Canis lupus familiaris: one gene and its partners. The protein of the gene in region 2 interacts with the protein of the main gene of each other region in a pairwise test. Links are inferred from orthologs where the notes say so. Each region holds a gene or a part of one and is shown on either strand. Other genes may lie near its edges.

Evidence for each region.
Region 1: the proteins of KLHL42 (region 2) and STXBP4 interact in a two-hybrid assay, tested with the Homo sapiens proteins (2 studies listed by BioGRID and IntAct). The two-hybrid records come from large-scale screens. The link is inferred for Canis lupus familiaris from reciprocal best matches to the Homo sapiens genes KLHL42 and STXBP4.
Region 3: the proteins of KLHL42 (region 2) and SERTAD1 interact in binary tests that used the Homo sapiens proteins (3 or more experiments, as listed by UniProt). The two-hybrid records come from large-scale screens. The link is inferred for Canis lupus familiaris from reciprocal best matches to the Homo sapiens genes KLHL42 and SERTAD1.

The regions. Positions count from the first base shown.
Region 1 is NC_049230.1:30,036,671-30,040,881, forward strand, and holds the start of STXBP4 (syntaxin-binding protein 4), read left to right. Parts: upstream 1-1,367; 5' UTR 1,368-1,501; intron 1,502-2,401; exon of another isoform or gene 2,402-2,546; intron 2,547-4,211. Other genes in the region: COX11 (cytochrome c oxidase assembly protein COX11, mitochondrial), read right to left, coding at 961-1,326. UniProt on the Homo sapiens protein: Plays a role in the translocation of transport vesicles from the cytoplasm to the plasma membrane. Inhibits the translocation of SLC2A4 from intracellular vesicles to the plasma membrane by STX4A binding and preventing the interaction between STX4A and VAMP2.
Region 2 is NC_049248.1:26,604,850-26,608,406, reverse strand, and holds part of KLHL42 (kelch-like protein 42), read right to left. Parts: intron 3,527-3,557; coding exon 3,333-3,526; intron 1-3,332. UniProt on the Homo sapiens protein: Substrate-specific adapter of a BCR (BTB-CUL3-RBX1) E3 ubiquitin-protein ligase complex required for mitotic progression and cytokinesis. The BCR(KLHL42) E3 ubiquitin ligase complex mediates the ubiquitination and subsequent degradation of KATNA1.
Region 3 is NC_049222.1:114,052,883-114,057,113, reverse strand, and holds the start of SERTAD1 (SERTA domain-containing protein 1), read right to left. Parts: upstream 2,815-4,231; 5' UTR 2,655-2,814; intron 2,203-2,654; exon of another isoform or gene 2,048-2,202; intron 957-2,047; coding exon 243-956; 3' UTR 1-242. UniProt on the Homo sapiens protein: Acts at E2F-responsive promoters as coregulator to integrate signals provided by PHD- and/or bromodomain-containing transcription factors. Stimulates E2F1/TFDP1 transcriptional activity.

The DNA of each region.
Region 1 (4,211 bases), on a different chromosome or scaffold from region 2:
CCTGGATGTCGGGATTTTTAAAAGTTCTCCAGATGAGTTCCTCTCATCAAAACGAAGAGTTGGGAGAACCACTTAGGAAATACTTAGTGAATGAAATGAATGTAGCTCTCACTTAGGTTTTTTGAACAAACTCCTGGCCCCTTCTCAGAACTCCTAACCAGAGTCTCTGGTGTTAAGGGAGCCCTAACGGGTTTATTAAAGCAGCTCCACTAGCGAACGGTAACGCTTAGAGAAAGCAGCAAAATCTCCACTTTAAGAATGAAGGAGAACCAATGCGACATAATGTCTGCCTTTGTTTATGGTCGTCAAATATTATTGTGCACCGAACCGAAATCCCCTCAGGGACTTATTAAGTCACGGAATGCTGGGCCCCTCCCCCAGAGTTTCTGATTCAGCGGCTCTGTGGAGTTTTTCACCCAACACGGTGCACTCAAGTTCCCAGGTGATGGGACGCTGGTCCTCCGCAGGAACCACACCTGAGGAACAAACGCATTGGGGTTTCTGCTCGAAAGGGGAGCCTTGGGTAGTAAGCACGTCGCGGTCAGGGCTTAACAGTGGAGGGAAGCCCCAAACGCCGGACTCGTGCTTCTGTGTGGGGATTAAACCGATCTGCAAGCATAGCCCCCACGTTTCCAGGGTTACCCCTCGCACCTACACCGTACACGCTTCACAGAACGAAGGTACCGATGCAGTGTACGTTCCAGGAGCAAACACGTGTGTGAAGGGGCAGAGGCCAAGGCGCACGGCTGGAGGGTCTCACCCAGCAGGGAGGTCGGTAGAAGCACGCTCGCCGCAGGGCCTTAGCTTCTACTTGGAGCGTTACCACTAACTCCTGGTAAGCGCCGGCAAGTACTCGCTACAGCCCGTTTCCTCTCAGGTAGCGGCTAACGTCAGGCGTCCCGTCCGACAGGACGCGGAGGCGCGACCGCCGTCCCTCCGGGAGGCAGCGCCGGCCCCTACCTGGCAATACAGCCGATAAAGGGGTACAGCGGCGTAGGACGCTCCCAGCATGCCCACGGCGGCCGCGGCCACGTACGTGAGCACCGTCTTGTTCCGACGCCGCCAGTCCTCCTCCTGCGCGCGAGTGAAAGGGTTCGTGCTCTTCGGCCGCCGCGGCGGGGGCTGCAGCGCCAGCTCCGGGGCCGGGCTCGGGCGCCTCCAGGTCCCGAGGCGCCTCAGCGCCGTCTCAGCACCTCCTGCCCCACTCGTTCCCGGCCTGAGACGGGGCACTACCCTCTCCGCGGCCCTGGCCGCGAAGCCACGGTGGCTCCAGCGCCAGCCACAGAAGGCAACGGGTCTCCACGGGGGACGCCAGAGCCCTCCCATAGCGCCCGGGGGTGGGGGGGAGAGAGCTCCCGGAGTCGGGGACGAGACGGCAGATCTCGCGAGGCCTGCGCGGTCTCGCGACATCTGGGGTGAGCTTGCGGCTGCCGTGGCTACAGGGCTCCTCAGGTGGCGGCGCCTGCGGTCGCGCTACGGAGGCCCGGTTGCCGGATTACGGGTAAGTTCGCGTTTTGCTTCATGACTTTCCTCCCGCTTTGCTTCCCTCCGGCGCCTTATACTAGCTTACTCTGAGGGAAACGCCATGCGCTCCGCGGGGGTGCAAACGCCTCATCGTTTGGGCTCGTATCTCTGAACTTCCTAAACTCCACCATCCTTTGTTTCGACCTAGCGGCCCTCAGCCGCCGGCCCGCTGCTTACTGCCCTGGACTTGAGCTCAGGGACCACCTCTTCCAGGAAGCCTGCCTGGTGTTCACCACAGCGCACAACAGCACTCACACACGTGTGCGTTCCCTCAGCCCCTGGGAATCGGCTTCCGCTTCTCTTCGGATGCCCTCTAACCACTTGTCCGGTGAAAACGACCAGTCCTGGAGCAGAGAGACGTTGTCAAACGAGTTTGTCCAGAGGAGAGTGACCAAGACAGGAACATACTTTAAGGCAGGATTGAAAGAAATGGGGGATGTTCATCGTGGAAGAGAACCCTGTCGGGGATGTACTACCTCTTCTTCGCTTGAGCCAGAGGACACACTAGGACCTGAGGGGAGAGGCAGCACGGCCTACTTTGCTGTAATGGAAGGAAAAAGCTTTCTAGGAACTATAAAGGAGCTGATGAAAGCCCCCATTCTGAGGTTTGGCAGCTCGGGGGTGATGCCTGCATCCCACTATGGCCTTCTGTCCTTAGGCCAGTTATTCCATCTCTCTCAGTCCTGGTGGCCTTGTTAATAAAACGGAAATCATAAGAGTAAACGAGAATATGCATATCAAGTGATTTTCATTGTGCCCGAGACCTAGGAAAGCTAGTAAACGTGAGGCTGCCTTTCTTGTGTGGGGGTGTTATGGTTTTTTTTTTTTTTTAGATTTATTTTATTCATGAGAGACACAGACAGAAAGAGCAGCAGAGACACAAGCAGGCTCCCCGTGGGGAGCCCGAGGCAGGACTCGATCCCAGGACTCTGCGGTCACCACCTGAGCCAAAGGCAGACAGACGGTCAACCACTGAGCCACCCAGGCGTCCCATCACACTCTCTTTCTAATGACTGGTGCAGGTATAATTATTCCCACTTTATGGATGACACATATAAATAACATTTAATCTAAAAAAATTTTATTTATTGCACTTTTCCACAAGCCAGACCTTGTTCAAACTTACTGAGGCTACCGCACAGAGAAAAGCAAACACAATCCCTTCTCTAAGGAAGTGTACTTTTTACTGAGGGATTCTGGAGATAATCAAGTAACAGATATATAAATGAGGGAATTTCAGATAACAGTACAGTGAGACAATAGAAGAGTGTGATTGGGAATAATAATGAGAAGGGTTAGTGAAGTCTTTCTGAAGGTGTGACATTTGAGCCTAGTCCTGAATGATGATAAGGAACCTACCTATACGGTGACAATTCCAAACCATACAGAGTCCCAGAGGCAAGTAAGATCTAGATAGCATTGAAGAATAAAAACAAGGCCACTGTGTTCCTGGCATAGAGAATAGGGAGGAAAGTAGTAGGAAATAAGGTCAAAACAGGTAGGTTAGGGGCCAGATAATACAGACCATTTTAAGCCATATCTAAAGGTTTGGATTTTATTCTGAAAGTAATAGGAAACTACTACAGAGTTTAGGTTGAAGTATACAGGTGATATGGTCTGATCCCACATTTTTTTTTAAAAGATTTTATTCATTTATTCATGAGAGACACAAAGAGAGGCAGAGGGAGAATCAGGCTCCCTGCAGGAAGCCCGATGTAGGACTCGATCCCAGGACCCTGGGATCACACCCTGAGCTAAAGGTAGACGCTCATCCGCTGAGCCACCCAGGCATCCCTGATTCACTTTTTGTTTTAAAGGGTTTTGTTTATTTATTTGACAGAGGGCCAGAGAATACAAGCAGGGAGAGGAAGAAGCAGGCTTCCCGCTAAGCAGGGAGCCCAACGTGGGTCTCCGTCCCAGGACCCTGGGATCATGACCTGAGCCAAAGGCAGACACTCAAGCACTAAGCCACCCAGGCCCTAATTCACATTTTTTTAAAAGCTTTTATTTATTCATTAGAGACACAGAGAGAAGCAGAGATACAGGCAGAGGGAGAAGCAGGCTCCCTTGCATGAAGCCCAACATGGGTCTCTGTCCCAAGACCCAGGGATCACGACCTGAGCCAAAGGCAGATGGTCAACAACTGAGCCACCCAGGTGCCTCCTGATTCACATTTTTTAAAAGACCTTGGTTGTGTTGTGTAGAATACATTAAAGGGAAGGGGGCAAAAACGGAAGTAGAGCAGTTAGGAGGCAATTGAGGTGAGTAATGATGGTCATCTTGAGTGAATATGAGTAATTATTAACTTGTTGTCACAGGGCCAGAAAATTGCAAAGCCAAAAATATCTTCTGAATCTTTCCTACTTTGGCACAAAAACTTGAAAATGCTATGATTCTACGAATTTATTTGTATTGTTTTGTGTTTGAAAATCTTTTTCATCTACCTTAGTTCTTATACCAGATTATCAGCTTTTTCAGGATAAGACCTGTCATATATTAAGTTTCTTACAGCATAGACTCAAACCTCATGCAAACATAAATGTCACTGAAACCAACAATACATTCCCTTAGCCATTTTTTTCCTCCAGGCCCCCAATACGTAGCAACAGATAGCCATATAAATACATCAGTAATAGTGTCTTTGTCTTGGGATCTGTTATTTTGTTTTGTAATTTCAAATGAAACTA
Region 2 (3,557 bases):
GGGGGGCTCAGTGGTTGAGCATCAGCCTTGGGCTCAGCTCAGTGATCCCAGGGTCCTGGGATCAAGTCCCACATCGGGCTCCCTGCAGGGAGCCTGCTTCTCCTTCTATGTCTCTGCTTCTCTCTGTCTCTCATGAATGAATGAATAAATGAATGAATAAATAAATAAATCTTAAAAAAAAAAAAGAACTAGAAGGAGACTGAACCTTTCGTTTACCACATGTCCCCATGCCTGTAGAAATTTCAGAACTGCTACAGCTTTAGGAAACTGTCCTTTTTTTCCACCCACATTAATACCTCCCTACCTTTCTTTTTATTGTAGCTACTGTGATAAAACTCATTCTGGAGACAGTCCAAGGGAGTTTGGTTCCAATCTATCAAAAAGTGCTCCTTAGTAACCTGGCTTTCCCTCCACATGAATAAAGGACTTATTCTAGTGAGGCTTCCATGGATTTCTCAGTCCCTGGTCTGAAGGTCTTCCCAGGTCTTCTGTAAATGTTTTTTCTCCTCACCCAACAAGGGCTCAGACCATGATGAGGTGGTTTGAGTTGGTGGAATACTCTTTTTGCTTTTACATTTGGAGGTGATTCTGAACTTTAACAAATCACCCTTCTTCCCTGGAGTGGTTACTATTGCTTTCTATTGAATTTTTCATTTCCTCAGTGCCTGCTACAGAATTAATATAATCAAACAGCTATCATAAAAATTGTGAATTACTTACTAAATTTTAAAGTCTACCTAACTTAAGAAGTTAGCAGGCTAATAACCCAACTTTGAGCCCTGCATTTGTTCATAAAACAAAACAATTCTGATTTCTTATTCTAAATACAGGTAACTATTAGGAAGTGCTGAGAAGATCCCAAACAGAAGAGGAGGGGAATTTCAGAGTACAAGGAACTGTCCTGCCCTCTCATCTCAGAAAACCCATTTTCAACCTTTACACAAACATCCATCCATCCACATCACCCAACCATCCCATCACAGGTATTTGGCTTGGGGAACCCGAGACAGGAATCACCGTGGGTGGCCCAAGTGAAGAAGGTATATTAGTAGTGGCTTGAGAAACTAGAAAACACACAAGCAAGGGTTTTCCAGGTCAGATCTAAAGAACATTTGCTCAGCCAGGCCATGGAAGAACTAGGAAATCTACCAGCAGGGTACTCTTTGGGCTACAGTACTGCCTGTCAGTGTTTCCCAGCTCCTGGTCACAAGAGAAGCCAAGGGTTATGTGTGCATTATGTCAGCCCAAAGGGTGCTTTCTGTGTGACAAAATCTAGGGAGCAATCAGAATTCTTAGAAATGTTCAAAAGTAAATAACTGTATTTACTTTCCTAGGAGAAAAAGGCACACAGACACACACAGAGGTACATATGCACTCACAGGAATTCTCTGGGGGCTATGGTTTCGTTAAGCATATGAAGTTGACCGCTGTACCTGAACACCAATATTGAAGGTAAAAGAAATGACTCTTAGGTCTCTCTCTGTCTCTTTATTTATTTTTTCACCCAATTATCTATAACCAAAAAAAGCTGGCAATTATCTTATCTTCAGTAGAATGTCACTAGGGAGGGACATTGAGAATAGCTCCACAGTGATGAAAATCTGAGGGCATTATAAAAAAAAAAAAAAACAACTCCCTGTTTCCCATGGTCACTGCCCCTCCTTAAATGCATAAACACAGCACCTGTAGTGAGTTCAACAGGCCCCCAAAAAGATATGTTTACTCCCTAACCCCAAAACCTTTGAATGTGACCTTACTTGGAAAAAGGGACTTTGTACCTTTCAATGAAGTTTAGGATTTCACGATGAGATCATCCTAGATAACCCAGGGGGGCTATAAAATCCAATGAGGAATGTGTCTTTATAAAAGACAGAAGAGGAAAAGACGTAGATATGCTCAGAGGAGAAGGTGTGTGAAGATGGAGGTAGAGCCTGCAGGGATGCAGCCACCAGCCAAGGAACACCTGGAATCACCAAAGATGGAAGAGGCAGGGAAGGACTCTCCCCTAGCGCCTTCAAAAGGGATGTGACTTCCCACACCTTGACTTCAGATTTCTGGCTTCTAGAAATTGTCTTAGGCCACCAAGTTGTAGTTGTTGGTTAAGTCAGCCATAGGAAACTAAAACACCACTCACCATCCTCCCTTCCACAGCCAACTGTTTAGAGATACTTTAAGAAGTGTTACTCAGAATCTTTTGCACATGTCCGTGCGCGCGCGCACACACACACACACACACACAGTAAATCAGATGCTCATAAAACATCTATTGACAGAACTTCTTCCTCTAATATAAATCCCCCAAACAAGACACATTTGGCTACAGTAAGAAGAATTTTTGGCACCTATATTAGCATGTGGATTTTTGTCCTTTACAAAGTGATGTATCAGTAACCTCTCTCCATACCTGTCAGCAGGGCTGGAGAACTCTGTCCTCCCATATTATAGCATAAAGGAGAGACAGGTTATTTCACTATGTCAGATATAATGGTAACTCTACTACTACAATGGGGCTAAAAGTCCCATGAGTCTAGTTATACCTTTTCTGTAAGTTCTGGGCATTTTACAATCAGATAAACCAAATGAAGAAATAAATTTCCTTGGCCAAGAGGTAACTTGGACACAATTGGAGGGAGATAAAGGGAAAGGCACACCTCTTCCTGGTGGCCCACCACTGCCTCTCTTAACACAGTCAAGCTTTTTTTTTTTTTTTTTTTATCACTATCATGTGAGATGCTTCCTACCAAGAACATCACTATAAAACCTACTGGAGAAACTTATTCCCAAATTATCAACTACCAAATAGCCACCAAAAAAAAAAGTACAGTTTAATAAACAGTACAACCACCTCCCACCTCTGGGAGGAGGTCAGGAAAGAATGGTCTTATATTCATGTCTTTTATAATCCTCTTAGGATATGTGAACAACAGCCTAGCACTGAGTTTCTGTAAATTATGTCTGATATATTTGTATTCAAGAAGGAAGAAAGTGAAAACAAAGATCTGCAGAATGTTCTAGCCCTAAATTACATAGTGTTAAATGTGTTTGGGAGAAGGTTGGGAGTTGCCCAGTCAAGTCACAAGACAGCTGGCCAGAACAGAAAGAAAACATATATTCTCTTCATAGCATCCTCTACCCCATTCAATTTTCATGATCACACAAAGGCATCAAAGGTCCCCTCCCTTCCAAAACACCCCTGTAGTATACAACTCTCTTCTTCCAGATATGTAAATGTCCAGTATATAATGTATTAAATTACACCAAAGTGTTTCTTTTGGCACCCTCCTGCCCTTCTCCAGGCTGCCGAAGCTCATAGAAGAGGACCACATACTTACCTCTGGTAGTATATCCTCCAATGACATAAATTTTTCCCTTACACTCACACGCAGAGAACTCAGCCAGAGGATTTGGTAAGGGTGCCACAAAATTCCAGGCATCCTGCTCAGGATTGTAACACTCAACATTAGAAACGGCCTGCCCACCAATGGCATAGAGTTTTGAATTAACGGCCACAAGCTTGAAATTAGACCTGAAAGAGAGACACAAAGGTCCAGAGAGTC
Region 3 (4,231 bases), on a different chromosome or scaffold from region 2:
ACAGGGCCCGGTCCAAATCACATTCCAGCCACCAGGCCCTGTGATCCCATCCCAAGGGCCAATCCCAGACTCCCCTCATTAGTCCTAGACAAGAGGACAGAGGTGAAGTTGCTCAGGACTGGATTCTGTCTCTCCAAAGGCCCTCTCTCTGCTCTAAGGAAGCCAGCTGTGTCTTTCCAAGGAGAGTTGGTCCAGCCACCAGGCTCAGTTTGGACACCAGACCACCATCCCAGTTGTGGGGATCAGCGCCCTGGACCCGGTGGCCGCTCCAGTGCCTGTGTGCCCACCAACACGTCCAGGAGGTAGTCCAGCTCAGCCTCATCCAGTTCCAGAGCCTCCTCCTTGCCAGGCCCATCCTCAGGGCCAGGTTTGAGGCCCTCGGAGGCTGGTGCCCAAAGTTCACTGTCATACATAGAGGTGTCGATGTCCTCAAACAGACCCTCAAGCTCATCGTCCAGCAGACAGCCAGTGGCTGGGCCCAGCAGGTCCAAGGCACCCAGGTTGGGTGGGGATCCTCCAGTGGGGCGGCCCGGTGGCCCCTCGTCCACCAAGGGCTGGGGGGCCTGGCTCAGGCCCTCGATATGGCTGAGGTCCTCCAGAAGGCTGGCCATGGAGGCTGAGAGGGCAGCGTCTGAGCTGGCCAGCAGATTGTCAGCCACACAAGGGGCCGCAGGCGGGCTGGGCACAGGTGGCAGGGTAGGTTCAGGTGCCATGGATGCCTGGATGCGCCGCAGCGTGTTCACTACCAGTACCAGGTGCCGCAGGTCCGGCTCACTCTGCCGCAGGCTGTGGTGGAGCTTGAGCACAGAAAGGTCCAAGAGGGAACTGGAGGCCACGGCCGGGGGGGCCTGTGCCACTGCTGGGAGGCTGGGATCCAGCCACCAGGAGTCCACTGCCAGGGCTTCCTTCTCCCGCTCCTCCTCCCGCTTGCGCTTCAGACCTTTGCTCAGCATCATCTGCAGGGAGGGAGGAGTCATTCAGTTATGGAAAGTCAATGTTAAGTTAAAAACCCTGTCTCTGATAACTTATGTCTGGTGTGATCTTGAGCAGGCCATTTAATTTCTTGAACCTGTGCTTTCTTAGGGAAACCTGAAGATATGAGTGATCATAGTATCTACCTCATGGAGCTGTTATATAGAGTAAATGTGGTAACGTACAAAAAAGCACTTACAACAGTGCCTAGTACATTGTAACGATTCTTATTAACAAATACTCTTAATAGCTATTATTATGTATTTCTTCAGTGAACCATGTGAAATGCCCAAAATTCAATCTTTTTAACTCATGAAAGCAGCTGTTTTACATAGTTCCATCCGACACTTACTGTCTACTACCCATCAGACAAATAAATAAATAAATACAGGAAATGTAGAGGTGTGCTAGGAAGATATTCAAAGGTTCTGGGGAGTGGTCACGGAAGGCTCCTCCGAGGTGACATTTTAGCTGACCCTTCCTCAAGCAGGAGGAGCCACCCACAGAAGGACCAGGGGAAAGCATTCCGGGAAGAGAGAACAACAAGGGCAAAGAAAGACCTGGAGGCTGGATGAGCATGAACTGAAAAAAAACAAAACAAAACAAAACAAAATAAAACACCAGTGTGGTCAGCGCAGAGTGACACGGAAGGGGACCGGGTTTGGAGAGCAAGCAGAGGCAAGGAGTTTGGATTTTACTGTGAGTGTCATTGAAGGATTTTGAGCAGGGAACACGGGTGGTGTTGTGAACTGATTAGATTTCCAGAAGATCCCCCCTCGGCTGCTTCGAGTTAGATGAGGGTGAAAGGAAGGGAAACGGGGAAGAGCGCGGTCCTGAGCTCCATTCAGAGGCCACCGCGCTCTGGGGCGGGTGATGGTGGGGGCCTGAAGTGGAAGGTGGAGGGCAGTGGACATGGAAAGAAGTTGGTTGCTTCCGGATTTCTTTGGGAGGCAGAGTAGACATGGCTCGCTGGGAAATCCTGACCGGCACCGGGGGGTCACCAAGAGAACTTTGAGGACCCACACTCTCCCCGAGATAGGGGCCCCTGGCGTTCTGGACGCCAGGCCCAACTTACTTTCTTGAGCCTGGAAGCTTGAAGGCTCCAATCCCCTTGCCCAACAGGACCTTAAAAGCGACTCCTCACACTTCTCAAAACGGTCCTCGCCTCCTTCCCCGAAGACCCGGGAGTCCAGAACCGCAGGAATTCAGGCGCCCCCCTCCCCGGACTCCGCCCCCCCGTCCCGGCGCCCCCTAGCGGCGCCAGAACGGCTTTCCCCGGGGATTCCGGCCCCTCGGACCCCGGGATCCTCGATACGGCCCCACGTCCTGGCTGTCGTTCCTGCCCGCAGCGCAGGGCCGTGCGGGCCGGGAACCCCGAGGGCTGTTCTGCTCTCTCGGCCTGTGCTCGCTTCCGGCAGGCAGTGGAGGCGGCTCCTCCCGAAGCGGCGGCGGCGGCGGGGGCGGGTGAGTCACGCAGCCGGAGCCAGAGAGCCGGCGCCTCCGCCCCCTTCCCGGGCTGCGGCGTGATTCACCCAGCCCGGCCGGGCGACACTCGGGGGCCCGCGCATCTCGATCCCGGGCAGCCCCGGCGCGCACCGGCCGGACCCGGGGATCGAACCTGCCAAACGACCCCCTCGCGGGTTTCCCTTCTCGCCTCGGCCCCCTTCACTTCATTTACATACCTAGCTCACCCGCTGCCAATCAGAACGAAGAGGGATCCACGCGCAGCCAATCAGGGAGCGGCGACGGCAGCATCGCTCGCTCGCTCTCCTTCAGCAGCCGGCGCCTGGGTCGGTAGACGCAGTTCTGACTCCGGCGCACGACTCCAGGCTCCTGACTCCCCTTAACTACCGCCCACTCCCGCGGTGGCCCCGCCCTCGGCCCGCGATTGGCCTTGGGCGGTGATGGGCGGGGCCTGGAGAAGGAAGGTTCGAAGGGAGGGGAGGGTGGCTTCAGGGCGCATGCCTGGCGACTGTGTAAGGAGCCGAGGCCAGGTGGGGTGGCTGTGTTCACTGCGGGGCAGTGGCTGGGAGGGGTTTCTTCCTTCTCAAGGTGTGAGCCCCTCACACCTGCCCGTACATTTGCCAAACCCAGCAATTGAGCAACTTACAGACCCAGTCCTAACAGAGGTCTGCACTCTAAGCCAGATAAGCATGGGTTCAAATTCTGACCACTTACTCAACGTGCGATCTAGGGAAAAAAAAATCCTTGGACCTCTCTGAGCCACACACAAAGTCTGTTAAATGGACAGCTTCTTGCCTACCTCTTGAGAGTCGGGAAAATTAAAATAAGGTTGTGTCTTTAAGAGCACCATAGCGCACTAAGCAAATGCTGAGCAGTTGGACTCAATAGTGGTTACAGGAGGGGGAGGGGGAGCCGGTGGGGATAGGAATAGAGCCACTGGAGTCACATCCTGGGCTCCATTCCCTAAGTAGCTGTGTGACCTTGGGCAAGTAATTTTAATCCCAAAGGTCTCAGTTTCCTCACCTTTTTAAAATGAGAGTATTTTGAGGATTAAAAAGAATAATCACACAGGGGCCCGAGGCAGGCTCAGTCGAGAGCATGTGACTCTTGACCTCTAAGTTATGAGTTCAAGGCCCCCGCGCTGGGGGCAGAGATTCTTTTTTTTTTTTTTTTTTTTAAGATTTTATTTATTTACTCATGAGAGACACAGGCAGAGGGAGAGGCAGGCTCCCTGGTGGGAGCCCAAACAAGATTCAATTCTAGATCCCAGGATCATGACCTGAGGCAAAGGCAGATAGATGCTCAACCGCTGACCCACCCAGGCGTCCCAGGTGTAGACATTTCATAAAAATAAGATCTAAAAGAAAAAAAGAGGGGCGTGTGGGTGGCTCAGGTCATGATCCTAGGGTTCTGGGATCAAGTCCCACATCTGGCTCCCTACTCAGCAGGGAGTCTGCTTCTCCATCTCCCTCTACCCCTCCCCCTTGCTCATGCTCTCTCTCAAATAAATAAAAAAAGAAAAAAATAATCCCACAAAGTGCTCAGAATGGTGCACAACATGTCCTTTTGTTGGTAGTAATAGCTGTTGTGGTTATAGCACAGGTGCTTAATTCAAGGCAGGACACCTGGGGTCGGGTATGGGTAGACAGGAAGTTAACGCTTGTCTGGTAAACTGACAAGGGGACTTAACTTCTCCAAGTAGCTCATTTGCTAACTCTTTTTGAATTGTGGGAAGAACTGTTGTGAATAGAGTTCCTGGCCAAAGTAAGCTCTAGAAAATGCTAACTAAACTAGT